Medicago truncatula: one gene and its partners. The protein of the gene in region 1 interacts with the protein of each later gene in a pairwise test. Links are inferred from orthologs where the notes say so. Each region holds a gene or a part of one and is shown in the gene's direction. Other genes may lie near its edges.

Evidence for each region.
Region 2: the proteins of protein BOLA2 (region 1) and monothiol glutaredoxin-S17 interact in a two-hybrid assay, tested with the Arabidopsis thaliana proteins (2 studies listed by BioGRID). The link is inferred for Medicago truncatula from reciprocal best matches to the Arabidopsis thaliana genes AT5G09830 and GRXS17.
Region 3: the proteins of protein BOLA2 (region 1) and monothiol glutaredoxin-S15, mitochondrial interact in a two-hybrid assay, tested with the Arabidopsis thaliana proteins (2 studies listed by BioGRID). The link is inferred for Medicago truncatula from reciprocal best matches to the Arabidopsis thaliana genes AT5G09830 and GRX4.

Annotation. Positions count from the first base shown.
Region 1 is NC_053049.1:42,946,969-42,957,537, reverse strand, and holds protein BOLA2, read left to right. Parts: upstream 1-6,705; 5' UTR 6,706-6,811; coding exon 6,812-6,874; intron 6,875-7,793; coding exon 7,794-7,816; intron 7,817-7,922; coding exon 7,923-8,118; 3' UTR 8,119-8,464; downstream 8,465-10,569. Other genes in the region: fibrillin protein 5 homolog, read left to right, coding at 9,305-9,557, 9,668-9,783, 10,011-10,133. UniProt on the Arabidopsis thaliana protein: May act either alone or in interaction with glutaredoxin as a redox-regulated transcriptional regulator, or as a factor regulating Fe-S cluster biogenesis. The GRXS17-BOLA2 heterodimer binds a labile, oxygen sensitive iron-sulfur cluster.
Region 2 is NC_053045.1:43,446,626-43,457,739, reverse strand, and holds monothiol glutaredoxin-S17, read left to right. Parts: upstream 1-6,395; 5' UTR 6,396-6,440; coding exon 6,441-6,611; intron 6,612-6,700; coding exon 6,701-6,775; intron 6,776-8,385; coding exon 8,386-9,615; 3' UTR 9,616-9,796; downstream 9,797-11,114. Other genes in the region: endonuclease MutS2, read left to right, coding at 194-658, 1,632-1,946; stress-related protein, read left to right, coding at 2,513-2,920; heat stress transcription factor B-2a, read right to left, coding at 10,597-10,941. UniProt on the Arabidopsis thaliana protein: May only reduce GSH-thiol disulfides, but not protein disulfides. Participates probably to the maturation of iron-sulfur proteins and to the regulation of the redox state of the BOLA proteins.
Region 3 is NC_053043.1:50,695,569-50,706,457, reverse strand, and holds monothiol glutaredoxin-S15, mitochondrial, read left to right. Parts: upstream 1-6,319; 5' UTR 6,320-6,414; coding exon 6,415-6,465; intron 6,466-7,710; coding exon 7,711-7,842; intron 7,843-7,939; coding exon 7,940-8,039; intron 8,040-8,963; coding exon 8,964-9,030; intron 9,031-10,348; coding exon 10,349-10,427; intron 10,428-10,507; coding exon 10,508-10,555; 3' UTR 10,556-10,828; downstream 10,829-10,889. Other genes in the region: lys-63-specific deubiquitinase BRCC36, read right to left, coding at 460-641, 1,018-1,233, 1,323-1,408, 2,654-2,741, 3,361-3,486, 3,612-3,722.

The DNA of each region.
Region 1 (10,569 bases):
CATGAATAAGTTAAGCGTGTTCAAGAGTTCTAGCTGTGACAATTTCATAAGAACCATGCAAAGTAATAGTCATGTTATTTAGTCTATGTTTTAGTTATTAATTTTGATAATTTATTATTGTCAGAAGGGATGTTGCTATTAGAGTTGTGGGATGGAATGATGGATACTGGATAGAGTTATAGGCACGTTTAAGAGACTAATTAAGTTTTTAAAGAATTACAGCATGATACAAATAATTATCATGATTGTTTGGACTTGAGTGTGATTATGATGTTCCTAAGCCGAAGTCTTTACTAACTAGATTTTTACGAGTATGCCATCTTTAAAACCTGATTTAGTAAAAATACAACTTGACATTTTGTTGTTAGTCAAAAGTTAGACCAAAGAAGATCCACTTTTGGTTGTTTTGTTATAGTTAATTGCAAGTCATTCATTTCGCGATTATGCAAATTTTACTATTCTCTTCTGTCTTCTAATATATTTCGGTTCTGCAGATGGAAAGCAACAGATGAGTCCATTTGCTAATTCAAAGACTGCTACATATTTAGCCTGGCAAAACATGCACAACAAGTACTGTCACTATGCTTTCTGTTGATTTCAATGTCCATTTTACATCCAAAGTCCTTGCAACCAAGAGTATCAATCCAGGTTATTTCACATCTATTGCCACATTTTTTGTGCTGAATTTTTTTAACTATTGCAGGTGTAGAAGATTTCATTACATTTTAAACAAGATTTTTTTACTTGTGCTCTTTCACTTCTGTCAATCAATCCGTGGGATTCATATGCGATTAAATCCATGTCTCTAGAACATTCTAATTGCCCAGCCAGTGCTGTTCAAGCCTTAACTCATGCAATGAGTCGGCGCATGTCTCCTGCTTCATCAGAATCATGGTGTAGACGAGTAGTGGTCATGGTCAACATGTCAATTCCAGCATGTGGATCTCATGCCGAAAGAGATATGAAAATTCCAGCAGTGAGACTTTGATATAGCGTACGCCATAGCTCAAAATCATCTTTATCGCAAATGTTGCCTAATTTCTGAATTTTGTCAGCATGAGGCGAAAACATTAACCAATCCATCTCTTTCCCTCTCACTTTCTCTTTACTCTCTCTATTTCTGTAAGTGCTTTAAGATGTTTATTAGGTACCTTTCTTTGATCCAACAACCATGACTTCCTCTGATAATTTTATTTCACTGTTGTAAATAAATTTCAAATGGATTGTTCAATTGGACCAGTTACTAAATCATTTAATTAAACCCAACAAGAATGACAATGTGCTCTCATTATAGTTGACACCAAAGCAGAAACCATGCATGGAAACACCAAGATAATCTCAAGAAAACTGTAAAGACTAAATCAACAAACGGTTTATTAAAGAACTAATAAAACAACAAAGCCACAAAGCCTTTGATAACAATGTGAATTAACTACAAATTCAAAGTTTCACTTCAACGGAGAAAGAAGCGCAGCACAAAGCCACAAACTAAACAACAATGCGAGTTAACTACAAATTCAGAGTTTCACTTTAGTACATGAACAACAGTGTAACTGTAAACTTATTAACTACAAATTTCATAGAGATTCACTTCAGCAGAGAAAGAACTAAACCGCAATCTTCATCATCATCGAAGCATCGCACTCACAGGCCATGGTGATCTTCAATCTCAACCATTGGCTTGACCTGAGGCATGGGAGACACACCTGCTGTAGTAGTGACACCAGCAGCACAACCACCACGTCCATCAAGAGCAGAGCAGGTTTCTTCCGTCGCCTGACCTGGAGAATCTAATAAAGTTGATGCTCCGGCTCCAACACCTGCTCCTTCCGACGCTCCTTCACCTCCTAATATAGTATCATAAGCAGCCGCAATAGGATTGATATGCGGAAAAGGCAAATACACACTGTGCACAACTATCTTCACATTGCGGATGACGTCAGCAACCTTAACTCTCACATAGTTAATCCTCATCGGCGCTGATGTCACTCCTCCGCCGGAAGTAGTGATCAGAAGCGGCTGACCTCGCTCCAATGTAGGCAGAGCAGTTCCAACTGGAAGCTTCTCAAGATCGGCGATCGACAAGTAATAATTCGGTATGATATGGAATCGCACATTGCTGATGTACGATTGAGAACCGGAGAATATAGAAAGATCATCAACGGCGAAAATAGTCATGTTGTTGAGAGTTATGAGCTCTGCGTATTTTACCTTCATCGCAAGGGAGAGGATGCTGAAACCGTTATTACGGAGCCTGAGCATTGCATCTCGTAGCATGAGGCGCATTATAGCAGGGAGCACGGTGACGCCGTGAGTGTGAACGTGAGCACTGGAACGGTGATCAGGATGAAACGGAAAGGAGAGTGAAGTCATTCTCTCAACGTCACAAGAAAACGGAGAAAGTGTAGAGACGAAACCTTGAAGGCCGTGAACAACAACCATTCCGTTGTTGAATAGATCCGGTTGAGCAATCTCAACGCCTCCGATGAAAACTTTTGGAGCACCGCCGGTAGTAATGTTCGAATGAATCGAATCGGAAGTGACGGTTATGCAACGGCCTGGACTGAGCGTCTCGATCTTGGTGCCAAAAGGAAGCGTACGCAAATACTCGATAGTGAATAAACCTGGAACGATGTGTTCACGGAGGAGATTCGGAACAGAGCAAGAAAAGCAAGTGCGAAGCGAAGCATCGGAGGGAGCGAAAATGGTAGAAGGACCGGTCCAAGCAGAGGAAGCGGTGGTTGCGGCATCGGAGAGCGACGGAGCGGCGGTTGCAAGCTCGTGAAATCCGAGATGAGACAAGATCGGTGGAAGTAATGTGGTGTGAGAGAAGAACGAATGTTCTTGAAGATCATGTGGAGGTAGCGGTGGGATTGAAGGTTCGAAACCTTCAGTGGCGGTGACCTTGTCACCGGAAAGCATGACGGTGAAGAAGATTGCGAAGAGCATCGAGAATCGAAGAGAAGAAAAGGTTGAAGAGCTTTCCATGGTTGTTTGAGAAAAAGTAGAAGAAGCAGTGATTGAAGATTTGATTTCAATTCTGAGAGAGGGAAAATGAATGGAACGAGGATGAAATGCAGAGTGAAGTACTTATATACGCGCGCGCGGGGGAGTGAAACTGTTAGAGAGATTTTGTAATCGTGTGAGTTTGTTACGCGGTTGTTAGAGGTTTAAAGTTTTCGAATTTTGGGATTTGTAAGCGTGCCAAGTATTTTTTTTATTTTTTTTTTAAATGGAAGTGGAAAAAATAGAAAATGAAAATTAGTGATTCATCTTTTAATCAATGTTTTTCATTTTTTGATAACTCTTCACATTATTGCAGATTTTTTGTTGCAACACATCTCATCATGAGAACAAGTTCGCCTCCCACATGAGGGGGCGGTTTAAGAAAAATTCAATGATTGAATTTGATTTATATAATGAAATTGATTTGACATTTAATTATTTGTCCATATAAATTTTGGGTCATGATAGTGCTAAATACTCTTGCGATGATCTTAGATTTTCGACAGTAAATAATAATTCATCTATTTCTACTTTTACTTGGAGGGTTATTGTTAGTGTTTAGAAGGATGTCTCTAGAAACATAACTAGGTATATTAAGAATGGTCATCGTGTTTGGTTTTGAAAATATGTTTGGATTTGAGATTATGGCCCTTTGCAAAATATCGCCTCCAATGGTTTTTCCGTTGTCCATATGGAGTTTTCTGTCTCTCATTATGTTTTTGATGGCCGATGGAACTGGGAATTGCTCAATCAACTTCTTCCTCAATAAATTTATGAGAAAATTACAGTTATCAAGCCTCCCTTTAATGAAAAATCTGTCTTTCTTTGAAGAAACCTTACCAGAGATGGAGATTTCTCTCTCAAATCACCGTATTCTATCATACATGGTAAACATCACTTCTTCTCAACAAACCTTAATATCTTTCATGGTAAAATTCTAACTAATGATGAAAGGTATCATATAAGTATGACTAGAGACAATCTTTGTATTATATATGGTGACTATCAAGAGACAATTATATATGTCTTAAGAGATTGCGTAGAAGCAAACATGTTGTGGAATGGTCTAGTTTCTCAATATGTTTGGAGCAATTTCTTTAGTCTTGGATTGTTTCAATGGCTCGACTAGAATATCAAAACTCTTAATATTGACACAATACATAACAATCGCCAAATGTTCTTTGGAGTTGACGTTTATGAGCTTTGGAAAGATAGAAATAGCCTAATGTTCAATGGGAAATCTTTGATTGGTAACCAAGTTCTATGTCAAATAACCAACTATGCTAATTTCACTATTTTCTCTATCAATTCTAAATTCTAATGTCTAATTTCATTCTCATCCATCGAGACACAATGTCAAGGTCTTTTGGTCATCTCTACCAGACGATCATTATAAGTTTAATATTGGTGAATATCATAAAAAGTCAACATGAATATCTAGTCGTGGAGGTTTGATTAGATATTGACATGGTAGGAATATACGTGGTTTCGACAACATAATTGTCACTTTATCTGCCTCGTGGGCATAACTTTTGGGGCCTTTAAATACACTGGAATAGATATGACGAGTCAATTGAATATTAGAAACACCATTTTTGAAATGGATTCTATGATCATGGTTAATATGGTTACTTCAGGTTCATCTCAAAATTCTCTTCTCCATGAGGTGATCTCTCTTATCCACCGTCCTATATGGAGAACTTCAGTTTGTCAAGTGCATTGCGAGGCTAAACAATGTGTTGATCTGTTGACAAATCTCATACATTCTTCATTGTATTTTAATTATATTTATGTTTGCAATGTTTTTCGTTCGACTTTGAAACTTCTACCAGAAGATGATGTAAGATGTAATAGTTTGTCTCATTTAATTTCGTAATTTTTTTTTCTTATAAAAAAACCATCTCCATAAAATTCTATGTGAAATGATATTAATTGTGTGCGCAAATAAGTTTTAGATCAGTAGCGTGTAACTTTTTTTTTTTGAAGAAAACAATTCTTTTAAAAAAATTAACTTAATTGATAGTGACAATATATTGCAATAGAAAGGGACATGGTTGTCCCCGTGAGCATAACTCAGTTGGCAGGGACAATGCATTATTATATGCAGGGGCCGGGGTTCGAACCCCAGACACCCCACTTATTCACTTTAAAAGTGAATTTCTAGGCACTAGGCTACCTGACCAAAAAAAAAAAAAAAAGGGACATGGTTTAAATCGCATATACCCTACTTATTTACATTCAAATTTCTAAAAAAAAAATACAATTCTTTAAAAAATATTAGTTAAAATAAAATAAACTCATGTTAAAAAAAATGATGAAAAGAAGTGAATAACAAAATAGGATAATTATTTTTCGGCTTAATACATCAGTTGATCCCTTAACTTATTTTCGTTTTTCATTTTGGTTCCCTAACTATTAAACGTCTCAATTTGGACCTCTATATATTACGCTGTTACCTATTTTAATCATCTCCGTTAATTTTTTAATGTCTAATAATGTTGATATGACTTCAACCATCCGATTGCAGATCCATTGTATATAATAGTGAACTACCAACATCTGATTTTTTTTTTCCTTTTCTTCTTCTTCTTCTCCTTCCCTCTTACTCCTCTTGATCTTCGTCATCTTAATTATTAAGTTCATATAAACCCAAAAAAATTGAACAAACAAAAACATAAAAAATAAGAATTGATTGATTCTTCGTTATTCACTAAAATCTCAATTTTAGTTAGATCCCATTAATAATAATAAAATAAAAAAACTAAAAATAAAACACAGCAATCCATAGATTCACTTCTTCGTGATTCATTTCTTCTACCATTAAATTAATCTTCTCCAATTTGAGACATATATTCATTTCTTTCTTCCACAGTTTATACAACATCACTTCTTCCTAATATAAACGGTGAAATTAAAGGCTCGCTACCTCCTTTCTTGTGCGATGAGATTTATAGGGATTTTATAGATTTAACTGTTGGTTATTTTTGTTTTCTTTATACGGAATGGGATTGCGTTTGAAGCTGAGTTATTGAAATTATTTTTATACAAAACCCAGATGCAGAAGAACTAAAATCACAAACCCATAGGCAATACAACAACACTTACTCTCTTTCTCTCATTTTCATTATGATTTCATTTTGATGTGAATGAATTGAATCCGAATGCAGAAGAACTGAATCAGAATTTGACAGTTTTGATGTGAATGATTTGGTTTTGTTTCTCTAAGAAGGGTTGTTGTTGTTTGTTTTCTGGGTTTGATTCTGAATTTGAAGGGTTGTTGTTTGTTTTCTGTGTTTGATTTTGACGATGATATTATGTGTTGTGGTTGTTATTTTTTTCTGGGTTATATTAAGATTGACCAAGAAAGTATGAATGTGATGAAGGAAGAAGAAGTAGAAATAAGAAAAAAATTATGTGTTGATGGTTCACCGTAAGATACAACAGACCTATATAATCTAACGGTTCTCTTTTTAAAAAAATATTAAAGGGTTTAAATTAAATGAATTTATAAAGTCTATGATGGACCACCTTTAATATGATTCAGCTTAAACTAAAAACTAATGGAGATGATCAAAATAATAAACTGCATAAGATTTATAGGATCAAATTGAGACGTTTAATTGTTACGAGACTAAAATGAAAAAAGAAAATAAGTTAAGGAAAATGATATATTAAGCCTTATTTTTCTTTTATCTATCCGCGTGTGAGCAACGGCAAGTTAAGAAGCGAATATCTTTCACAAAAGGGTTTACACGAGAAATTGAAGAACAGCAGAAAGGGCAAACCTCACAAGAGAGAAATAGAAATGGGTGTGACAAAGGAACAAGTCGAATCATCTTTGAACTCCAAACTCAACCCTTCCCATCTTGTAAGTTTCTCTTTTCCAGTTTCGTTCCTTTCCTTTGATTTACGCTCGTTTCACTAATAAACATGGCTTAATTTCAACACACCATTTTTATTTTATTTTGTATATATTATTATTTTCCATCCTTAGCCCTAATTATTATATTGGAATGTGCAATTCCTTTGTCATGCTTCATGCCTCTTAGCATTGGAGATCCAAAAAAATCCCTAATTGTTCCCAAATGTATCGAAACTTCAAAAACATTATTTAGTGTGTTTCGGTTAGTAGTTTCATGGACAGCCTAATTAACGAAAAATACATTCAATGACCAAACTAACGAGGACCGAATTGACTAGCGAAAGACACTTTTAGGAAAGTTGTTGTAATTTTATTCAATATTCATGCAAGTTCAAGGACCCTAATAGTTGTTAGCTATGGCTATCTGGAGTCTATATTACAATTTTGGAATTTCTTTTGATCAAGAGACTGTAAAATTAGTGTCTGACTCTTGAAGTTTTCACACTGCTCTGGTCTGATTATTAACATGATCAGTATTTTTACCTGAGTTTAATGGTTACACACTGGCAGCCCACAATTTTACACTGACATCCAATGAGAGACCACCATTTTTCCACATCACACAATCAGCTTCAAAATACATGTACATTGAAAATGCACATCCTCTGATTCCTCTTTACTTTTGACTCGACATTACATGCAGTGTAGAGTATCCTTAGTGAAATATGTTAAAAATGGAACTTCATCCTATGAAAGGGAAAATGATCAACCTTCAATTTATCAGTTTTACAGTTTATATGAGTTCATGAGTTATGAGGAACAAACTATACTACTGCACCAACTTGAAAATGTGAACCTTCCATTTGTATTTGACAATGACCTTCTCCTTTTCCTTTTGAATTTCTTATGTTTGTTTTTGTTTCAGGAAGTAACTGATATATCTGGCGGGTAAGTTTTGTTTTCCATCCAACACATTTTTTATCAGCTTTTTTCTACCACCGTATACTTGTCGCTTATATCTTACAATCTTATAATTCCATGTTGGTATTATTAGGTGTGGTTCAAGTTTTGCAGTTGAGATTGTTTCAGAACAATTTGAAGGAAAAAGGCTATTGGAAAGGCATCGAATGGTGAATGCTGCCTTAGAGGAGGAAATGAAAGAGATTCATGCACTCTCTGTAAAGAAAGCTGTAACTCCAGAGCAGTGGAAAAAACAGCAAGAGTCCAACCAATCAAATCCTGCGGCCTAGAGCATATAATATTTATAAATAAAAAACCCTTACAATATATTGCTGGCAGTATTTGTGGATCATAGTTCTATGTATTATTTGCTGCCACTCAAATTTTATGTTGCACTGCTAAATTTTAGTTGACAAAGTCCCTGACTTTCAGTAGGGTAATTTTATGATGATTGTTCTTTTTATACTTTCTTGGGTATTGCTTACTAGAATACATGTAAGCATGCTCAATAGAGATGAAAGTTGGAAGAAATGAAGGCAAAGTAAAAAGCTAAGAATGCATGACTTATGAAGGTTTCTTGCATGTCTGAATCCGAATGGATCAATCAATTTCTATTTTTCCTAAATTTTAATTCTTTCCAAGTTCATTCTTCATGTGGACTTAACTTGTTGACTTGAATATGTGGGTGTCCTTTTCATTTTTCTTCTGAGGGTTTTGTTTTCAGTCTGAATTTTTAACCTTGCTAGTTCATTTGGATGGCGTTATTGATGAGTATTATGTTTCAACCTTTAGGTGATTTTCGCTATGTCCTGATATATCATGACAGTGAGTTGGTAAACTGAAGGCATTGTGGTTTTGCTGAACCTTCAAAGTGTATATTAGCTAAAGTTACGGTAGCACACCGTGATTTTGTCAAATTTACCAGAGGTCCAAATATGCACACATCTTTTACACTGACAATTGTGTCCTTTTCTCACCACACACAAGATTCAATGGTGCCTTAAAAATCTACTGTTTTCTTCACATCTGAACTAAGAAGCTTTATAGTCCTCCTCGTCACTTGTGAAAACAATTGATTCATAAATCTTATGACCGTGTCATTACTTTTGTACGCTGAATAGAAGGAATGGTTGAAACCACTTCAAGTGCCGTCAACTATTTTTATTGTACTCAATTTGTGCATACTATAGGAACATTTGGCTTTTGAGGTCAATAAGTAAGAGACCAACACGTACAGTGTCTATCTCATGGACCTCATATATTCTATGAATTTTAACCACATGTCTCGATAAGACCTATCCAAAAACCTTGATTAGAAAAAATCAAATAAAGACAACAAATATGTACACAGTTCCACTGTCATCAAAATTTTGAGTCACCCTTTTATCAGAAAACTTGAAAGAACAACGTGCGAGGTGTCACCACCATGATCCTCTACCCTGTTTCATTATTCTGTATTTAAGCTTGAATGTTATTATGATAACTAAGCTAGTGCATCCATCAATGAATGATTCTCCTCTGGTTTGTAGAACCATGAACATCATGAAACTTCAAAGATTTGGACCGGTTAGTAATCGTTCATGGATAAAGACTTCAAGATTTGGTGAGAAGCCATTATGGTTTAGACCCATTACTATCATTAAAGTTGCAGAACAATCTTCTGGCTATGGCTTAGTTGAAGATGAAGCACTTGGACAGAAGAAAAGAGAGCTTTACCAGGCTCTGGAAGGTAGCATCTTCAATTATTCTTATTATTTGTTATTCTGAGCTATTGTTAACACTAGTTAACAAAGTGGAAAGAGTAATTTGTTTGAAATGGGTAAACAAATGTGTTTGAAGGAATCAACAGAGGGATATTTGGAATTCCATCCGGCAAGAAGTTAGAAATTGAAACTTTGGTGAAGCAGCTAGAATCTCAAAATCCAACTCCAGAACCAACACTAGAACTAGAGAAGGTAACTTCATGTCAAGGTTTTAAAATCGACACGGTACAGTCATGCCGCGATTCTTGATATTATGGAGAGTTCGAGTTAAATGTGGTTGATGTGGTGTCATAAGAGGCTGTGTTATGGCCGCAAAGACATAAAAAAGTTGATGTCGAGGCCTAAATCACATTTTTTTAAACTATATTAATTGTCATACACAAACTTTCATAATCATGTTATGTTTCTATTACTGGAAGGTGGATGGGTGTTGGAGGCTTGTTTATAGCACTATCTCAATTTTGGGATCAAGAAGGACAAAGTTAGGCCTAAGAGACTTTATCGCATTGGGTGATTTCTTTCAGATTATTGATAAAACCAAGGTACAAATACAATGCACTTCTCAATTTTATATGATATATGACCCTTTTTCTTTTGACTTTTGATTTACTGATTTTATTTGATAATGATAACATTAAACTTCAGAAGGCACAAAACTAAGCATAGTTTCCAATCATAAATTTCGTATTTTTGTGTCAAAATTACTTAATCCGTCTTTGCTCTTAAAATCTAAAATACTAAGCTTGAAATTTAGATCGTTTGATTTTGATCGGACAATCTAGATGCGGCTAATTGCACGTAGTCACGAGTTTGTGAATCCATAAAACCAAAAGATCCCAAATTAGACCCGATAAAACTACTGCAGAAAGTGAACTACATGTCAATTATGCCTACATTGTTAACGTTTGAGTCTTTTAGCACATGCAGGACTAAATTGAATCAAAAATATATAGATGAAATTAAATTTAAATTAAATGA
Region 2 (11,114 bases), on another chromosome or scaffold:
ATGTAGTGCCTCTTCCATCCAAAATTTTCATAATGCCGTCATTTGTGGGAAAAATGGTTCAGCGTAAGAATTGTAGAGCATTTGCCTGCAGTCTGTAATCGGATGTCATCATATTTGCTGTTGCTCAATGCTTTGCACTTTATTGGCCCTCTCTCTGTCTCTCTCACTTTTTTCTTTTTCTTCTTTTGCAAAGATCCAAGGGGAGGCAGAAGACCTTGATAGACGTGAAACGATGCTTATGGCAAAGGAAGCTCAACAGGTCCAACAAGAGTTAGAGGATGCAAAATCTCAAATGGAAATTGTAATACAGAAATTCGAAAAGCAACTAAAAGATTTGGGACGCAACCAACTTAATTCAATAATTAAAGAATCTGAAACTGCGATTGCCTCCATTGTAAAAGCTCATACTCCTGCTGTTGGTTTTCCCATCAATGACGCCGATCGCACTACATCCTATACTCCACAATTTGGAGAGCAAGTCCGTGTGAAGGGATTGGGAGGAAAATTAGCCACAGTGGTAGAATTGCTTGGGGATGATGAAACAATCTTGGTACAGTATGGTAAAGTGAAAGTACGTGTGAAGAAAAATCGCATCAGAGCTATTCCACCAAGTGCAAAGAATCCTGTAACTAGTTCTGCCACTCATCAGGGAAGGCAGGTATGTAGAAAGAAATCTTTGCTGTCATATAAATAATCTAATCAATCGATATAGTTAACCTGTCAATGAAGAAAACTGAGTGGTATACTTTTCCATTAAGAAAGTTATTTTGCAAGCAGTAATCTTATTGAGTGAGTTGGGAACGATTGGGATAAGACAGTTAGAGAGGAAGGTTACTCCCTCTAGCTTCAAATATAAGAAGAAAAAAAAGTAGTACGCGGTAGTTGAGAATACTATAATAAAATCACATTTAACTTTTTTGTGTAATAAAAAATATAATTGTATTATCTAAAATATTCTTCGTGGAAACTTGTTTCATATAAATAAAAGAAGTTATTGGAAAATGAAATCCAAATTACTTGAAAAGTATTTTATATTTAATCTGGCATTTTTTTGAAGCTATGGTAAAATTAATTTAGAATTGATATATTTTGGAGCCCCAAACTTAGATTTTTTTTGTATATATCCAATAGCGGAGGGGGAATGTAAATAGCTAGAGGGGTTGAGAGGGAGAGTATTTGTTATTTTAGTAAGAATTGGGGCATGTGGAGTTGTAGATCCTCATTGTTCTATCATGTAATTTGGGTAGCTTTCTCCTGTTTTTCTGTAATAAATACCAGGTTCCAAACATCATGTTTGGAAATTGGAACCTCGGATCATCCTATAATATAAGCACGTTGAATTGAATTTTCTATAAAATTAATCTGTCTCCTTTTTAAAATAGGCTTCTTAACCTAATTTGATTTAGACAAAAAATTCGCACCTGCCCATCTGTTTTGTCTTTGAATGTTTGCGCATTTTGCTTATAACTTAGAAACTAATTTCAGACCCTGGCATTATTTCTGTTGACATTTTTTTTGTCCGCATAGACAATGTTATTGTAGAATTTTCTGTACGCTAATGAATTGAAGGATGACAGTTATTGATCTATATCAAACTGCTGAGTTTGTACACTGTTGATTTACTATTGTAGAAACCACTGAATGGAAAATCCCGGGGTAACTTAGAGATGAACGGCGGCAATGATGATAGTTATTATGGTCCAGTGGTGCAAACATCTAAGAATACTGTGGATCTACGAGGTATGCGACTGGAAGAAGCTGCAATCCATCTTGAGATGGCAATCAACGCAAGTCAGCCATATTCGGTTCTCTTTGTAATACATGGGATGGGGACTGGGGCTGTTAAAGATCGTGCGCTTGCTATTCTGCAAAAGCATCCTCGTGTCACTCATTTTGAACCAGAAAGTCCAATGAATTATGGCTGTACCATTGCACGTGTTAAGTGAGAGAACCCTCGTCCCCAATTTCAATAAGGCAACAGCAGCTTGGACCTGCTTTTGGCGAGGGTGTTTTTCTGCTTGCTTATTCTTTACAGGACCAACCAAGTGACTAATTTTGGATGTATATACATACGTAAACACATTTGGTGGTATAATTACATGAAAGTTTGTTAAATTTAGCAGTTTTAATTTTTTGAATTTTACTCTAAATTGTAGTTTGCGTTTCATTTGTCCTTTGTTTTGTTGATACTTTTTATGGAACATTTTTTACGCATTTGCCAAACTTTTAGCTTAGAGAGAGATCATAACAGAGAATAGGGCCGTTGTTTTTGCCTACTCATTAGCTTCACCCTTCCTATTAATAACCCAAATCAGATTCCCACTATTACTCTTCTAAAAATATGATACATCAGATTCTCTCATTCACAATCACCTCCGGTACGTTTGTTCTCCTCTTTCCTCATATATATACCCATTCAATTTCTTTGATCTCCTTTATTATTTCAATTACTTTCTTTTCTTCTCTTTTTTGCAGGGTGAAAAGAACAAGGAAGAACAACTAATAATTCCTCATGAGGTTCAACGCCGTCTACGGATACGCCAAGGAGTGCTCCAATGAGCTCAAGCCGGGCATCAAGACCGTTGAAGAAACTGTCAAGAGCGTGGTGGGGCCTGTCCATGATAAGTTCCACCTTGTTCCCGATGAGATCCTCCGCCACACCGGTACCAATCAAAACCACCACTGCACCGGACACAGGGCTCCCGTTGCCAACGTAGCCACTGTCTCGGAAACAGCGGTGAGGCTTTACTCCAAGTGCGAGCCCGTGGCAGAGCAGACTGTGGCTTCGGCATGGCAGAAGGTGAAACAGTCTCCGATGTTCCATCGAGTGGACAATGCAGTTGCGCCAAAGGCCGTGTATTGCAAGGAGAAGTACAATGCAGCGGTTATTGGTGCCGTAGAGAAGGAACGTAAGGCCTAAGCGTACCTGCCTTTGGTGCATACTGAGAGGATAGCTAAGGTGTTTAGTGAAATTTGAAGCATGAACTAATCAATCTCTTTCTACCTTTATTTTTTAAATATTCTTTGCTAGTAATTAGTTACTGGCTGCATTGTAAATACAGATATCCTTTGTTCATAAATAAATAAAAATTATTGTAACAGAAAAACATTGTCCTGTGTTTTTCGTTTCATGTGTGTTTGTAATTTTTCCTTTTTGGAGAAATCCTGATAGTTGGGATGGAAAATAAATAAAACCTTCGGGTTCGAATCCCGGATACCCCACTTATTCACCTTAAAAAAAAGTGAATTCTAGTCACTGTACTACCTAACAAAAATAAATAAATAAATAAATAAAACCTTGTAAAAAATTCATCTTTGTGACATAATGAAATCGTTAATTTCGATAAAAAAATATGTTTTAACTTTTAAAAAGTCAAATTCATCACTTTTCACCATTTTCCAATACAATATTTCTATTTTCATCTACTTAACCAATGTTTTAAAAACACTCCTTAACATTTTAATTTTAATTTTAATTTTTATACATCATCTTAATTTGATTGAATGCCCATAAAAAAAAAAAATGTTTGATCCTATTCAGAATAAACTATATTTTCTTTTTTTTTATTCCTTTGTTAGATTTCCTCTCTTTTTATCTCCATCTCTATCACTCCCTCTCTCTAACCTAAAATTAGTTTAAAATGAATATCCAATTTTATCTACAATTACTTATATATAAATAAGATACATGATTGTGAGTTGACATTTTCATTTTAACTTTATCTTTCATTTAAACTATTTAAAAGCTATTATGTTAAGTAACAAGATTATCTTCAGGAAGATAAAGAATCTCACATTGACCACGGATATGTGGAAGAACGTGCTTCGTTCTCGAAGATCTTGCAGAATCAATGGAAATGCCACATTGTCGATGAGACAGAGGGCGTTGTACTTGCACAAGCGCCCTGATGCCTAAGTCAATGGGAAACAAAGAGGTTGAAAGGTTTGAACGATGGAATAAACTTACTTTAAATTGTAAGGGGGCTCTCCTTATATAGGCATAAGGGAGAATGTTGGGAAATGATATTTCTCATTGACACTATTTTTTTTTTTTACATAAGTTTTTGATCTATATACAACTAAACGCAACAGAAAAACGGATAGAAAGACACATGTCTTTTCTCCGATAAAAAAATGTATCCTTATGCACATGTTAAGAATTCAAATATAAAAAGATTGACTCTAAAAATATAAATGACAGAAATCTTAAATAAAAACAAAATTGCCAAATTGAAATGACTCAACAGTTCCCGGCAGCGGCGCCAAAAACTTGATAGATATTTTAGCAAGTGTACTAAAAATGTATCCAAGTAATAAAATAAATTCGTATCCACGAGGACTGTGTTAATCTCAATTTAGCAATAAAGTGAATATTTAGGATGTATAAATTATTTTGTTTGCCCTAGGCAGTTGATTGGTTTGTTTGCATAAAAGTAATGACAGAAAATAAAGATTGGTTTTAAGATTAAGAGAGAGATGAGTTTAGGTCTTTCGAATCATCTATATTCCCCTAATTGGTATACTACACCTATTCTTATGAATGATTCACTAGTTCCACGTTAGTTAACAAAATAGTCCGTTCCACGATAGTTAACAAAATAGTCATAATCAATCCCTTGAGTTAGGACCCTCTTCTAGGGTTACAGCCCCTAATTCCTTAGGTGGTCTAATAACCGTTCAAGGTTTAAGCACGTTAACCTAATATCACTAATAAAGGATTATCCATTCCTAGACTAACGATGTTTATTAGAACAATTCAATTAGGTCTAATTCGAAAGCTAGGGTCAGTAGTCATTCGTTCTTACTAAATCATGTTTATATTTAATCAGGATATAAAAAGCATTAAGAACAATTGAATTGAATAAAAACTAGATTATCATTCACAATAAATAGAGTTTCACATCAACATGTTTCAATCAGGGTTACAAAGAATCATCTCAGACATAACCTCTAATGAATTTAGCTACTCATAATGGTGTTTACAAATAACATAATCATTAGAGGGATCAATACATACATGAACTAGTAAAAGAGTGAATAAATCGCCCTTCTAACCGTCTTGTAGTCTCAAAATCGCACTTTGCTCTCTCCAAACCGTAACCATTGTTTTCAGAATAGTCTTCAGCTTAAATAGGCAAGAACTGCTCCTAAAATCGTGGCACAATTTAAGTAAATCGTGACACGTTTCATCTTGTGTAACAAACCACCCAAATTAGGGTTTCCTTAATCGTGTCACGTTTTTGCCATCGTGACACGTTTTTGCCATCGTTGAATGCATTTTTGAAAGCTCCAAATCATGACACGTTTTTCAGTAATCGTGACACGATCCCCTTCTTCAGTTTTTCTTGTTGCTTAATCTTGCTTGTGAACTCAAAAATATCATATAAAGACTAAAAATAACGAATGACTGACTGTTATCACACGAGTTTCTTCAGTTAAGAATTCAAATATAAAAAGATAATCTTATAAATTTTGTATCAAGTATAGTTTAATGTTTTAAAAAAAATTCAAGAATTTTTTTAACTTTTTTTCATAATCTTTTTTTTTCTTCAGTAACTTAATGACTAAAATTTCATTATAAAATGCATAAGTGGAGAGTTTAAGGGTTCAAACTTCAACCACTGCATCAATTTATAATGTAGTATCTATACCGACATAATTATACTCTCAATACAAAATGACAATAACTATTATAAACAAACATAAATGGAGAAGTCGGAATTTAAACCCCAATCACAATGCTTGACCTAACATTTTTTATATTTATTTTTGCCATATTAGCTTAGAATTTGTGGACGTAAGATTCTTTACTATCCCTCAAAAAAAAAAAAATAATCTTTACTAAAAAAATATATTGCCTCAAAAAATATTGAATATGCATATATAGCTTTGGAAAAAATAATAATTTTTTTTAGAGGAAAAATTAAAGGTTAAAGCTTTTATTTTGGTTAGGCTTAAATATGTATTTTATCATTGCAATTAGGGGTCGTTTAAAAATTAATCCTTGTAATCGTTAATTCTAACAATTTACCCTTGCATTGTTTAATCATTTAAAATTTCGTATCTCTCCCCACTTAATCACTGCCATGTCATTAATTTGATGACGTGGCAATCACTGCCATACATGAAATTCCAATTTTACCCCTGGATTTTCAATTCTTTCTTCAATATTTTGTCCGCTTCTTAAGGGTAAAATTGGAATTTAATGTGTGGTAGTGTTTGCCACGTCTTCGAATTAGTGACGTGACAGTGATTAAGTTGGTCAAAGACAAAATTTTAAATGATTAATGATTGCAAGACCAGTTTGTAATGATTAGCAATACATGACCAATTTTTAAACGAGCTCAATTGGAAGGATAAACATATTTAAGCCTTTTACTTATATAAAGAGAATTAGGGTTTGTAAAAGTGATCGATCAACATCATCATCGAGAGAGAGAATGGGTGGTTCGGTGCGAGACGTGAAGTCAAAGTCGGAGTTGGATGAGGTGGTTCGCGGCGGTTCTCCGGCGGTGCTTCACTTCTGGGCGTCATGGTGTGAAGCTTCCAAACACATGGACCAACTCTTCTCTCATTTGGCCATTGATTTCCCTCATACCCATTTCTTAAGGGTTCGGTTTTCTTTCCCAATTATCCCTTTTTATTTTTCATCTTCTTGCTTTATATTTATCAATCAAAATCAATTTTTTACTTTTTTTAGGTTGAAGCTGAAGAACAACCAGAGATATCTGAGGCTTATTCTGTCTCTGCTGTTCCTTTTTTTGTCTTCTTCAAGGTAAAGTAACTGCAATTTGAAAACTCTTTTTTATCTGAGAATTCTATAGTATTGTTTTTGGCCAAAACTTTGTTCATTGTTAGGTAATTGGTTTTTCGGCTTTGTTTAAGTTGCACTATATGCTGTTGTTGTTCTTGCTGTTGCTGTTTTGTGGCAGAGTGGATTAGACCCTATTTGAATAAACAACTTAATTGCGCTTATGATATATGTGTTTATGTATAAGCTAATACAATTTAATTGCGCTTATGATATATGTGTTTATGTATAAGCTAATTTTATGACAGGGTTAAATACTGTCAAACTGATGTCGTATAAGCTATAAGTTGTTTTCATACACTATCCTAAAGAGCTTATGAAAGTAAGCTAAAAATAGCTTATGGACACCAAGTCCATGGGCCAGATATCTTTTATGACAGGGTTAAATACTGTCAAACTGATGTCGTATAAGCTATAAGTTGTTTTCATACACTATCCTAAAGAGCTTATGAAAGTAAGCTAAAGATAGCTTATGGACACCAAGTCCATGGGCCAATATTGAGTTTTCAATAAAGAAAATAAAAAAGGGAAATGCTAACAAGGGCACTTGATAAGAAGTCCAAAAAAGAAACTTTATCTTGGAAATAGTGCATTTAATACCTCTAAACTCTAGAAATTGACTTTTTTTACCTTGAATTTATCACTTATTTCCATTTTTAGCTTCTTAAAGTGCCCTTAGTTTATGGACATGTCATAAACCGTTTCCGTAAGCTCTCCCAGATAGGCTCACATGTGCTTATGTTACTAGATAAGCTAAAATAATCCAATTTAAACAAGTTTATTTCAATATTTCAGTGGTTGTGGTTCTGAGGCCTCCCTGGCTTCTTGGTCAGGAAAATGCAGTACTTTGCTTTCTTCTCATGTTCATTTCATATTTTCTTGCCAACTCTGCTTATTAGGTTCATTTTAATGTTATACCGTCAATGAGTCGATGACTATGGTTCTGTTGTAGTGATAATCCAATTAAACAATGGAATATAGATTTGTTTGTGCTGTGTCTGGTTGGTGTTTTGTTTTTGTTGGTTAAATTACATGTGATTAGGGGGAGGACTGTCACCTTGAACATGCCTCCTCACCTACAAATAATACTTATATTTTGAACTTATATAAAAGCTATTGTTTGAAAAGTCTTATAGTTTCCGTATATTGTTTTTAATATTTATTAGTCCACAAGTATTCGCTGGGAAATTTATCCACACTGACTTTCTGTCTTGGTTACCGTACCAAGAGTGTAACCCTTCAGTGACGAACAATTGCATGTTAACATTAGATGAAATTGAATTTCTAACTTATCAGAGCTATTTGTTGTGTATCTTTGCTTTTGCAGATTTTTAATTAAGACTTGGTTTTGATACTATTATTTATCTTTGCTTTTGCAGATTTTTAATTAAGACTTGGTTTTGATATTATTATTTATTTACAATACAAATTTCGCCATGTACCCAAAAGAGTTATCTTTTTTTATATTGCAATCATAATGCTCTGGTGATATTCATACTGTGAATATGGGATTGAAAACTCAATTTGTTATCTTTGTTTGATTTATCAGTTGATTAGTAGTTATTATCTGTCAGGATGGCAAGACCGTTGACACATTGGAGGGAGCTGATCCATCAAGTTTAGCCAACAAGGTTTCAAAAGTAGCAGGCTCAATTAACTCTGGAGATGCCGCTTCTCCTGCTAGTCTTGGGATGGCCGCAGGATCCGCCGTTCTTGAAACAGTGAAAGAATTAGCGCAAGACAATTTATCTTCAAACGAAAAAAGTAAAGTTCAACCAGGGCTTAGTAGTCATCTGAAAAAGCGATTGCAGGAGCTCGTTGACTCTCATCCTGTCCTGCTTTTCATGAAAGGGAGTCCTGAAGAGCCAAAATGTGGATTTAGCAGAAAAGTTGTTGATATTTTGAAGGAAGAGAAGGTTAAGTTTGGAAGTTTTGATATCCTCTCGGATTCAGAGGTTCGTGAGGGCTTGAAGAAGTTTTCCAATTGGCCCACATTTCCTCAGCTTTACTGCAAAGGAGAACTTGTTGGTGGGTGTGACATAGCAATTGCTATGCATGAGAGTGGGGAGTTAAAGGATGTTTTCAAAGATCACGGAATTGATACCGTTGATGAAACAAATATAACAGATTCAGGAAACACCAAGGGTGGCATCTCTAAATCTACGGATTTGAGTACAAATTTAGCCTCTCGGCTGGATGGCTTGGTCAATTCAGGCTCAGTTATGCTGTTTATGAAGGGAAAACCAGATGAACCTAAGTGTGGTTTCAGCAGGAAGGTAGTTGAAATTCTCCGACAAGAAAATGTTCCGTTTGAGAGTTTTGACATTCTTACTGATGAAGAAGTCCGTCAAGGACTCAAGGTTTATTCAAACTGGTCCAGTTATCCTCAACTATATATCAAGGGGGAGCTTATTGGTGGATCAGACATTGTGTTGGAGATGCAAAAAAGTGGGGAACTTCAGAAAACTTTACATGAGAAAGGGGTTCTTCCAAAAGAGACCATTGAAGATCGTTTGAAGAAATTGATTGCCTCTTCCCCTGTGATGCTCTTCATGAAGGGTACCCCTGATGCTCCAAGATGTGGTTTTAGTTCCAGAGTTGTAAATGCCCTCCGAGAGGAGGGTGTGGTGGATTTTGGTCACTTTGATATATTGAGTGATGATGAGGTAAGACAGGGAATTAAGGTATTCTCAAACTGGCCTACTTTTCCTCAGCTTTACTACAAAGGTGAGCTGATAGGCGGTTGCGATATCATTATGGAGCTGCGAAATAATGGAGAGCTGAAGTCAACTTTATCTGAGTAGGATTATTGTTAATTCTTAGAATAATTGGGATTGTATCTTATAAGCCACTATAGCTGAGGGTGTTGTTAATTTTGGTGCCATGAGGCTTTGTTTTTGACATTGTAATGTTCTGCGTGGTTACTCTATATATTGTTTGATATGAGGCTATTTTATTTTATTAAAAGTCTGAACTTGTTTTCCCCTTCTGCTTCTCTATATAGCTGGCTAAACTGATTCATGAGTTGAGTACCATAGTTTGTCAACCTGGGGGGAAATTGAAATGCTAGATTCCTGACTTTGTGGTAAATATGAAATACTGAACGTGAATTCCAAATATAGTGTAAGAACCGTGCTAATTCTATTATCAGATTACAAAATGTAGCCTTTGGAACCCCATCTTCCATGTAGATTACAAAACCTCATTTCATTTTTCAAACAGATGCTCTGATTTTCTTGTGCTGAAATTTCAAAGCGTAATTGTGATCGTGCATTTATTCTCAAAGCTTTGAACAATTTGTTAAATAGCTCTACAATTTATTTATTTTTTTTAGTGAAATTGTATTTACCCTTTCAAAAATTTAGATAGGTTGTTTTTAATAAACGAAAAGTTCAGGCAATTTGTGTCTCAGAAGCTTACTAGGGTCAGGAAAAGCTTCAAGGTTTTGATAGAGCAATAATAAATATTTATATATTATCAATCATCGAGGTTCTCACATTGACAACAAAATTCAAACTCGATTAAACTACACATTGACCTCTTTTAAAAAGGTTTTTTTTTTTTTTTTTTAAGAAGCTTAGAAAGGTTGTTGTTGATGGTCAATGTTGTTTAAATTATGATAATCAATCATGAATCTTACCAATATTTATCCCTATTCAGATTTTGACCAAACCAAGAAAGGTAAAACATACGTGCATTTTTATTATTATTCAATGATGACAAACATGTACATTTTACTTCTCTATTTTAATAACTTGATGTGATATGATAAATAGTAATATGAATTAACATAGTCTCCTAACTTTATTTTGGCGGTTATCCATATACTGAGAGAGACACTCCAACAACTTCATTTCAAGTGCCTTGCATTCAGCTATTTGCATTTGCAACTCTAATCTCTCCTTCTTTAGGTTCTTGTTCTCCTCCATGAGTAGTTCATGATTGTTATTGTCTTCTTCAACTGATGAATTATTAGTCATTGCATTTTCCTCTGAACAAGACTTGAGGTATTGAGGAAACACGCTTGGCTCACACTTTTTCCTACTGATTTCAACCAACATGTGCCTGCAACCCTTTTGAAATTTCTCATGTTGGAATTCCCATCTTTTAGATGATATTTTCTTAAACCCCTGTTGAAGTTATTAATTAGTGAGAGGTTAATAAAACAAAAACATCATACTTTGAAACATTACAATATCATTCCATGTTGTGTTAGTATATACATTATGTGCTATTGTACCTCACTTTTTTTTTCTTTTTTTTTAATATAAATGAACAAAATAACAGTCAAAGACAATATTGT
Region 3 (10,889 bases), on another chromosome or scaffold:
ATACCTTCCCCTGCACGATTATATTTCTAATGCAAAACTTATAGTGTACTATGTTATCATAGGCATTTCATATATACTTGGTGGAACAGTGGAACTGTTCCAAGGAAAGCTTCATAAGCAAAGACAGCAGAATCATACTAAGGAGCATTCTAGGGAAGCATTTTTAAGACACGTTAAAGATTATGTTCATACATATGACATTACTGTTTACAATAAAATGGATATCAGGGCCCTCCCCTTAATCTTCCTAATTTCAGTCTCTAATGGCAAGTATATTGCAGCTATCCAGACCTTTATCACCAGGTCACCTGGGTTAAGCTTTATATACTAAATAAACAACAGCCACTGTGCTCCCTTTTGTGCAAGGGGACAAGATGAATCCAAATCCAAAAAACACGCCTAAATTGTCAGTTGATAAACAACAAAGTGTTCAAATACATACTCATCTATATTCTGTACCTCATGTCCAAATTTGAGCGGTGCATAGCTTCCTGCATACTTTCTGACATATCCATGGGATCATCAACTGCGATGATGTCTGAATTGTTGAGATGATAGTTTTCTCCATCTTTTACACTCCCTAGATAGTTGGCATCAGCATTAGCGAAGAAATTCCCCAATTCTGAAGATCTCCCCCCACCCTAGGAAAAATTACAATTTAAATTTTGATTACATAAATTAAAAACACACACATAAAACGAATTATCTTTCTCCTAGACAGAAAAATGCAACTATGATTATACTGGTGGGACATCCTTTAGGGACTGAACGCATTTCCATAAGATCAACATCACTGTATCAACAAAAGGATGTATACAAAACCCAGTATAACAGGAAAGAATTTCCCTGATCTTTAAGAACTTCAATCACAAAAATATAGATTGGAAATAAACATTCAAGTCCCACCATGTTCTGAATTCAAATGTAATCTACATTTTTCAAATTGTTGTCTATTCTTCAACCACAAAATTCAACACACGGGGTGTTAAATCTTATTTCATATAAGATAAAGCATACCTTACTAGCACCAGCACTTCTCGAATCACCAGTGTCCTGCTCTGGGCTATCTCCCTTGAAGTAACCAGATCTTGTTGTTAAATTCTCTGAGGAACTTGGTGATGAATCTATATGAATAATGGAGCTTTTATTTACAGGAGACAGAGGTATGGGTCTTGACATGCTATTCTGCTTTCCATCAGATGACTGGAAAGCAATTACTTGAATTTTTCCTATCTGAATACAGTTCAAAGCTATTTGTTGTTAAACTTGATGAGAATAAATACTGCAAGACATCTAACAATTATCATGTGTTTCAGACCAACCTTGTTTGCATCTTCGTTGTAACAAGAAAAAATCAACCCAATAAACCCAGAATCAAGAAGTTGATACATTGCCTGAGTCCGCACATCTACAAAATAGTAAAGATGCTGATTAAATGATTATACTGTTGCTTTGGATAAAACCAAAAAGGAAAAAAGACAAGTCATTTAAAAAAAATCTTTGTTGCAATCCTATCCAATGCGATAACAAGCATGCTGTTAAATGTATGCAAACAGATCACAAACTTTTGAGGAAGGAGAGATGTCATTAGAAGTTTAGAATACGTATATGAATAGTGAGTACTGTTAAATTAAATCTAAAGCCTGCTAGAAAGCCTTTCAACCTAATTCATAGAACTCTCTAGCTAATTTATTGTTCAAACACAATCAAAACTTATATGCTATTGTAAACCCATACATTTTCTATGTCTTACATCAGAAAATGTTATATCCTACCTTAAATACCAAAAGTGGAGTATAAATAGCAGATATAGGAAAATGATAGTTGTACATGCCATGTACGGCATGTGCTCAAGTTGAACCATTCAGAAAGGTTACACTAGAACGCAGGGTATTATTCAGTGATTTGTGGAGAAGTGTCTGAGGTGCATGTGAATAAGTAACTGCATGTAACTATTAAGCATCATACTATCAGTAACAGACATCGATATTTTGTCTGTTTCAATGAAACAATACAGGCAATAGAGAAAAATGTGCAGTCTTCTTATAATTTCTCATGGAAAATAACATTTGCATCAGCCAAATGATGGGAAACCCTCTTTGTCTGGGAGTTAGTTAGAGAGTATGAGATAATAGACTATAAATAATAGGTAGGACGTGCTCGACAGATTTACTTTGGTTTTGGATAGGGTTTTAGAGTGGGAGATAACCTGGATGCTTGAATACATTGAATGTAATGGAATTTGCTATCGATAAAAACTATTTTCATCTAGTATCTATCATTGATCCTCTACAGCAACATATTTGATTCATATGCTCAGTCACACATACTAACCTTCAATTGATGTTGAAGTTGGAACACAACTCAAAGTGCAAAATTTAGAATATCACCATACATAAAAATACTGTTGACTTCAACATCTAGGAACTGTATAACATAAAGGATGATAGAAGCGCACTCCTTTCTCAAATCTAGGCTAGCAATATTCTCTCTGAGAAAAAAAATACTATATAACATCTTCGATTTCATAAATGCAACACATTAGGATTCAGTTCTCCAATCCAAGCACAAACAACTAAAACAATGATACATTCAGTGATAAGCAGAAGATAATATCGAAACAATGGGAAACGGTTTACCCGAAAGTACATACCGACATGTGAAGGCAGGACAGTAATATGAGGATGTGAATGGTACCAGCCTATCACCCTCGTTGTTCTTCCAGTTGTAACAGTCATTTTGTGCTATGAAGTTAAAGACACAATCAAAGCAACAATTGTAGTCCTTAAATCACTAAGAACAGCAAATTATCAAAATTGGACAGCATTGTCAAGCTAAACCAATGCATTAAACACATGGGCCTGTTTGGATTGGCTTATTTCAGTTTACCTACCGGCTTAAGCAGTTGTGAGAACGTTTATGAAATGTTCATAAGTTGTTTTCAGCTTATTTTCATATGCTCTCAAAGATAGCTTATGAAAATAGATTATCATCTATAAATTTCAAATTAAGACTATATTTTATCTTTTGTAATAAAAATAGCTTATACATAAGCACTTATCATCTATAAATTGCAAATCAAGTTGTTTATCCAAACAGGGCCTAAGTGATATGCTCTGCAGCACGACATTTCTAAGTGAAATATGTGCGGCGTCCAACACGTGTCTAACACCGCAGGTGTGATTACATTCAATCATGTCATTTTTCTCAAATTACTACTTGTGTCAACATGCCAGTGTCGTGCCCCCGTGTCTCTGCTTCATAGGTGACATGTGAGGTCAAAATAAACAGTATTGAATTTAAAAATGAGTTTTTTAGATCTATCTTAAATGCAATAACACACAACAAGAGAAAGGATATATCAGCAAGAGCTGAAGCAGCAGCCAACTGTTCAGGGTTAGTTTCAACACGATCTTTTCGTCTATCAGACCTTGTTTGAGGAGATGCACCCCATATCAATGCAGTCACACTCCCATTTTTCGAATGCTGAAAAATCAACAATTTCACAAATTCAATTTAACATTGTGAGACACAAATTGGGGAAAAATCAAAATAAAAATCAAAAATTTGAAAAAATAATCAAGAAGAATTTGGGGATTATTATACTATACCTGGATATCGCCAAGAAGAAGACCCATAATCTCTTCGGTTTCAGTGGAGAATGCATGAGTTGCGCATGTTAACCAAACTTCTTCGGACATTTTCACGCTTGTTAGAGACATTTTCGCCAAAAATTGGTTCAAAATCAAAAACCCTAAAAACCCTATGATGATAATAATCTCATTCTCTTCGATTACGTTCTTTTTCTTTGATGTTTCCCTCTCTCTCTCTCTCTCTCACCTCCTTCTTCAACCTCAACTGTCTAGTCAATAGAACAACGTAATTACTGTTAATCTCTTTCTATCTAGCTATTAATCTTTACCCTAATCTGACTAATTAAACATATCCAGTTAAAATTTAACTCTTGGCGTGTAAATTTTCACCAACAAAAAAATATTCGCTCCGGTCCATGTTATAAGAAAAAAAAAACTAAAACATAATAGTTTGTAACATAGTTTATTTGTGTTATTTTTAAAATAAATTTTATATGAAGATGTAAAAACAATTTTCATTGATAGTTGATTATAGAGAAAATGAAAAAGATAGCAAATTGAATGCACTTTGCATTTAATTTTCCTTTAGAAAAGATAATTTTTTTCAAAAAACATAATTAAATAATAAAAGTTGCTCTTTTTCCTTATAATTTGGGACAAAGAAAATGAGTTTATTTTTTATTTATAATTTAGGACGGAGGGAGTATATTTTTAACTATGTAGATAATGAGATTTGAACCTGACACTCCTCTCATTTATGTTAAGAGATAAATTTATAGTCCTTAAACTACTTGACTAACAAAACACATTAAGAGATAAATTTAAAATCATTAAACTATTTGATAAAAAAAATCGATGGTTTTGCCATGTAAATAAATATATATTTTTTAGACAAAAATAAATGATATTTATTGATTCAAATTGATAGAATACATTGATACATTGCAAATTCGCTAAAAACAAAAGGGATGAATCTGCGAACAAACTCATAGCATCCATGTTAATAGCTTAAAACGGCAAAGTACAAAAGTCCACACATATGACTATATTCAAGTCTCCGGAATACCAATGTCTCTGAATCTGCAACGTGAACGACCAAAGTCATTAGATTTGCCCCTAGATCAAATCTGATGTGTGACAATCTAAATCGAACAAATATCTGAACGAAACAAATAAGACAAACAACGCCGTACGAAGACGACGAACAAACAAACGTCGCACTAAGATGACAAAATTAAAAAAAAAAAAAATAGATGTGAAAATCACTTATTTCGATAAAAGAGAAAGATAAAAACGAGTTAGATAAGTGATTTTGGGTCAAAAATTGACTCTAAGTCACCCATCTTTGATGGATGAAAGAGAAAAAATTAAAGTTTTGGTGACGGCTCACAATTGGTAACGGCTCACAAGAGAGAAAAGGAAAAAGAGAGAGAATTTTATTTTATGTAAATAAATATCCATTTAGTTTTCATTATATATATATACCTTTAGTTTATAGAAAATAAATAAATAAATATTCTCTTTTACTTGTTTGGAAAAAACATTTTCTTTTACTTCAATCTTCGTCAAAAAATTTGTATTTGGTGTTGTTTAGCCACGATATCTTAAAGTGACTCATTTATACCTTTTTGTTTTAATAGTGTAAATTTAAAGAAATTATATTTGATCTCACGGTTCACCTCACATATTAACTCAAAAAAATTGGTTAATTAGAGTTATTGCTCGGGGAAAGGTATACAATTTTGATAGTTTGGATAATTTTGGATGGAACATTAAGGAGTTCCTTGATAGTAAGTGTTCGACTGATATGGTACATATAAGATAATGATTATTATATCCTACCTTATTGAGAGCTTTCAATTGCAATGCACTATTCAACAAAGAGAAAATCATGTTCATCTCTATCATCAAATCAACTTACCACTTAAGTTCTAGGAAAAATCTTGGTTTCAAAGATTTACAGAGATGATCTTATGAGCTAGTTAGAAATAAGAAGGGGAGTTCTCAATCACCTCGTTCTTAAACATATGCTACAATGTAACGAGACAAAAAGAAAAAGAAGAAAAAGGGAGAGTCGAAATTAAGTTTCAAGCTTATCTCTCAGGATTAGAGATTTCATACCAGACGGAGGATAGTTCCAGCGAACAGAGCAACTTGCATGTGATCCTTCCTTAACCATAAAATCTGCACACATATTTTGTTCCCTAAGAACATGCACCAATGTTGTATTTTCATTTTCATGTAAAACATCTCTAATATGAAGGATGTTAGTAGCATAAGTGTGCAAGGTATGATCACGACCATCAATAATTGAGTCATCTGCTTCCAAACAATCACTCTCACAAATAATGTTGACATAGCCTTTTTTACTACAAAAATCAAGACATATCTGAATAACACATAACTCTGCTAATAACGTATCACATACAACTTCATAGTGAGAAAAACCAGCTACCTAATCTCCATCGTGGTTGCGAACAACGCCACCATCACCTAAACAATCAAAATCTTCTAGAAAGCTACCATCAATATCGAGTTTGAGTCTACCTTTCGGAGGGGTATCCAATGAGCAAAGAGACGCGATAAGTGTTGATCCAAACCAATATTGAGATAGTAAAAAATACATTCATCATAAAATAAAAATGTCTTTCGCACCACATCTTAAATGTGTCAATGTTAATCCTAAAAAGTAATATTGTTTCTCTAACAAACAAAAATAGAGGAAATACCTTTTATACCCTAAACCAGAAGAGAGAGATATAAACACCTTAGTTCGAAGTTGTCTGCGTTGTGAAACATTCCTCACATCAGAAGTGCTTCCATGGCAACCATTCTTTTCAAGGGAATCGCTGCTCGTTCTCTCACTACACGTGTAAGCTTTCCATTCCTAAAATCAAACCCTAATTTTCTTCTTCTTTTTTCTGCAACTTCGTTTCTTTTTTTACCTTTTACCTGTTTATAATCATAAAGTTCCATGCTTTTTCCATTTTTCGGTAATGGGTATCCTTTGTTTTCTTCATTTTCCTCTTATAATTTCTCACCTTGCAATTTTTATTTATCAGATTGAAATGGGTCGTTCAATAATTCTAGTTTGAATTTGAATCCTGAAATTGTTTTGCTATCGTATGAGATCAATAAGCTATTACTTTTCAAATCATGAAATCTTGAAAAGCCTTTTTAGACCCTGTTTGGATGAACGGGTTAATTTACAGCTTTTAGCATAAGCGCATATTATAAGTTATTTCCATAACAAAATATAAAATAAAGTTAAACTGTTTTTGTATAAGCTATAAATTGTTTTTATAAGCTATAATTATGTAAGTTTGATCATGGCTATAAGTGAGTTAAATGTAAAGTGATTTATGTTTGGATATGTTTATGTAAAAGTGAGTTGAACAATAAATTTGAGTGTTAAAATCAATTTTAGAATCAAAAGCTCCAAATTTTAGCTTCAAGTTAGAATCAATTCTTCTAGAGGCAAAATCAATTTTCCTGGAGGGCAACCAAACATGTCAAAATTAATTCAACACCTTTAGAATCAATTTTGGCTCCTCTAAAAAATGAAACCGAACATACATACATAAATTGCCACTCACATTTGGTTCCTCAAAAAGTAAATATTGCCACTGAATTTTAGCCCTTTTTCTTTTTAAATTTACTATTATCTCATTCATGTTCTACTAAGGCAATGGTTGGGTAAACAGCTTAATTTGCAGCTTATAGCATAGGCACTTATCATATATAAGCACTTAATGTAAGCTATTTCCGTAGCAAAAGATAAAATAAAGTCAAACTGTTTTTGTACAAGCCATAAGCTGTCTTCATAAGTTATCCTGGAGATCTTGTGGAAATAAGCTGAAAACAGGTTATGAACATGTCATAAGCTGTTTTCACATGTTCCCCCAGACAGTCTCAAGTGATTATGTCTGTAGATAAGCTCAAATCAGTCAATTCAAACAGGCCCTAAGATTAACTTTTGGAGTTTTGCATTGTCACTCTTTATGATTTTAACTATTTTAGTGTTATGATTTAAATGGCTAGAGTTTGTTTGTTCGTTAAAATGTGAATTGTGTTTTCTGTATGTAATGGTGTTGGTTTTCTTTTAACATGTTTGCAGCTAACTAGTTCCAGTTATTATGGAATGAGATACACAACTAAGGTGTCTAATGATACCGACACACACGATGACTTCAAACCAACTAATAAAGTTGAGAATTCTGGAACTTCTTTGTCAAGTATTATTGAGCAGGTGAATTTTATATCAGTTGAATCTGTACATGAGAATTCTATGAAGGGTTTATTGTTTTGATGGTATAAGTAATTTGTGACTTGTTAATAATGTACAGGATGTCAAGGATAATCCTGTTATGATTTACATGAAGGGTGTACCTGATTTCCCACAGTGTGGATTTAGTTCTCTTGCAGTTAAAGTTTTAAAACAATATGGTAAGTAAATGATAATTTTCATGCTTCATCCTTGCTACCTGAGAAATTATATCCTCTGAATCTGAACTAGTTTTTTCATGGTAGAGCTGTTACATTTTCATGTATTCTGAAATTTTGTGCTTATGTGATTTGAAAGTGTAGACTCAGAGTGGAGGAGATAGTGTTACTTACATTTCTACAAACATTATGGTGATTAATTTGTTGAATGTAGCTGATGGGTTTATTGACTAGATGGGGAGAATTAGAAATAACGACGTTAGATAGAGTTGGGGGTAACCCCTATAGTAGAAAAGATGGTAGAAACTAGACATAGGTGGTTTCGGCATGTAGAGAGAAGACTTGTGGATTCTGTAATAAGGAGTATAGATGAGATGGAGGGGAGTCAGATCACTAGAGGTAGGGGTAGACCTAGAAAAACTATATGAGAAACTATTAAGAAGGATCTAGAGATAAATGAGTTGGAGAAAAACATGGTTTTTGATAGAACACTATGGCGTTGTTTAATTCATGTAGCCGACCCCACTTAGTGGGATAAGGCTTGGTTGTTGTTGTTGTTCTTGTTGTTGTAGCTGATGTCATGGTAGCTACTGTGTTTCTGTAATTTCATGTTTTGGTTTAATTATGTTGAATGGATAAAAATGTCACCCTTGCCTTTTGATTTTATCCTCTTCAACGGAAAAGGAAACTAAAACAATTTTAAAGGGTTAGTACATAGGTGGCTGGCCTGCAATTTAATTATAATGATCTATATCATAACCTGCGCGAACTTATATAGGATGCGGCCTTTAAGTTTCAAATGTGTTCTTCCAATTGTTTAATTTACTTATAGCCTACAGAAATTTACTGTGAATATGACTTAGCTTTACTGGATGATGAATGGACGATTTTATATGTTGCAATTTTTCATATTTGTTGCTTTTGCAGATGTTCCTTTAAGTGCTAGGAACATTTTGCAGGATCCTGAAGTGAAAGATGCTGTAAAAGCCTTCAGGTAAGTTTGTTCATGCTGGTTATATTACTCTAGCTTCTTGTAATGCTCTTACAACTAGTATTAGTGATATGTGATATGAAACATAAAAATATTAATTTCCAACTGCATTGTTTAAATCCAAATATATTAATGAAAATCAGATTATTATGATTATAAATCTGAAAACTTGTAAGTAATCGTTGTGCTATGACTGCTGTCTAAACGTTGAAATCTTCCATTTACGAATATCAATTGTGTTAGAATTTTGATACCCTTTAATGGCTATGGAATTCAATGGACGAGTGTCATGTCAATAATCTGAAGATCATAAACATCAGTTTGAAGATCAAGTACTGTGTGAAGTTACAGTTTTATATTTGGACAGAAAACTTTTTACGGTTGATTTCAACATATCTAGTTGCGGGTTATTAATTTGTTATTTATTACTACCTCCGTCCCTAATGATAAGACCCTTTTGAGAAAATTTTTTGTCCCTTTTTATAAGACTCATTTGCTATTTCCAATTACATTAATTATTTCTTTACATACATGCCTTTATTTAGGCCAAATACCTCCCTAGGTCCTTTAAGTTTCACATTTGTTTCAGATAGGTCCTTTATGTTTCGAGTTTGTTTCGGATATGTCCTTTAAGTTTCTAAAGTTTCAGATAGGTCCTTTAAGTTTCGAGTTTGTTTCAAATAGGTCTTTTCTATCAAATCAACTTTGGCTTAACGGAGGTTGATAGAAAGGACCTATCTGAAACAAACTAGAAACTTAAAGACATATCTGAAACCTTAAAAACTTAAAGGACTTATCTGAAACCTTAGAAACTTAAAGGATCTATCTGAAAAAAACATGAAATTTAAAGGACCCGGGAAGGTATTTGGCCCTCTATTTATTATACATCTTTTTCTTCAATCAACAATATATAGTATCTTGAAAACATAAACTAACTCTCTTTCTTAAAAGATAAATTTGTAAAAACAATAGTGTTTACAAACAACTTTAATACAAATATACACTATCTTAATTCCCGTGATTTTGGCAAAAGGGTCTTATATATAGGGACGGAGGTAGTATATCCTTGTATGCTATTGATATATGTACATGCATATGACAACTTATATAAAATTATTTTGAATATCTTTTATTTTCTTTGCATTTAAAGTGGTATGGTTGTGTCACAGTGTTGTCTTATATTATTTGATTTTCAAATATGGTAGTACGAGAAGTGCTGGTGCTGCCAAATATAATTTACTTTTCCCTTTTAATAGCTTAATAATTTACATATTAGGCAAATATACATTTCTTATGTTTCTCCCATGTTCTTTCACTGCAGTCACTGGCCAACATTTCCACAAGTTTTCATTAAGGGAGAGTTTATTGGTGGATCAGATATTGTTCTTAGTATGCACCAGGTTAGTTCCCATTGCAAGAGTTGATCAATTTTTACAATATTTAGTGCTCTCCTGTTTAACAATATTTCACATCCTTGTAGAGTGGTGAGTTGAAGGAAAAGCTTAAAGATGTTGTGTCCAAGCAGTAAAAGCACAACTAAGGTGATGGGATTTAAAAGAGAGAGGTAGTTTAGACCGACTTGTTCGATGCAATCTGTTTCTTTTGCTGAAAGATGACACTATGTGATGTCTTTGTATTAGATTTTCTGGATAGTAATAAGTTAAGTTATTTGACGAATAAAAAATTGTTAGGTATAAGAATTTCATGTGTGCGCATACCTTGCTTTATTGTTTATTTGTTGTACCTGAAATGACAGTCAAGACCGAAATTTTATACACCTTGATTTAGAATAATGTGACTAGAGCACAGATATTGTATTAAAAATGCAGCACTGCAAAACAATACCCAATTCATGTCTGCCT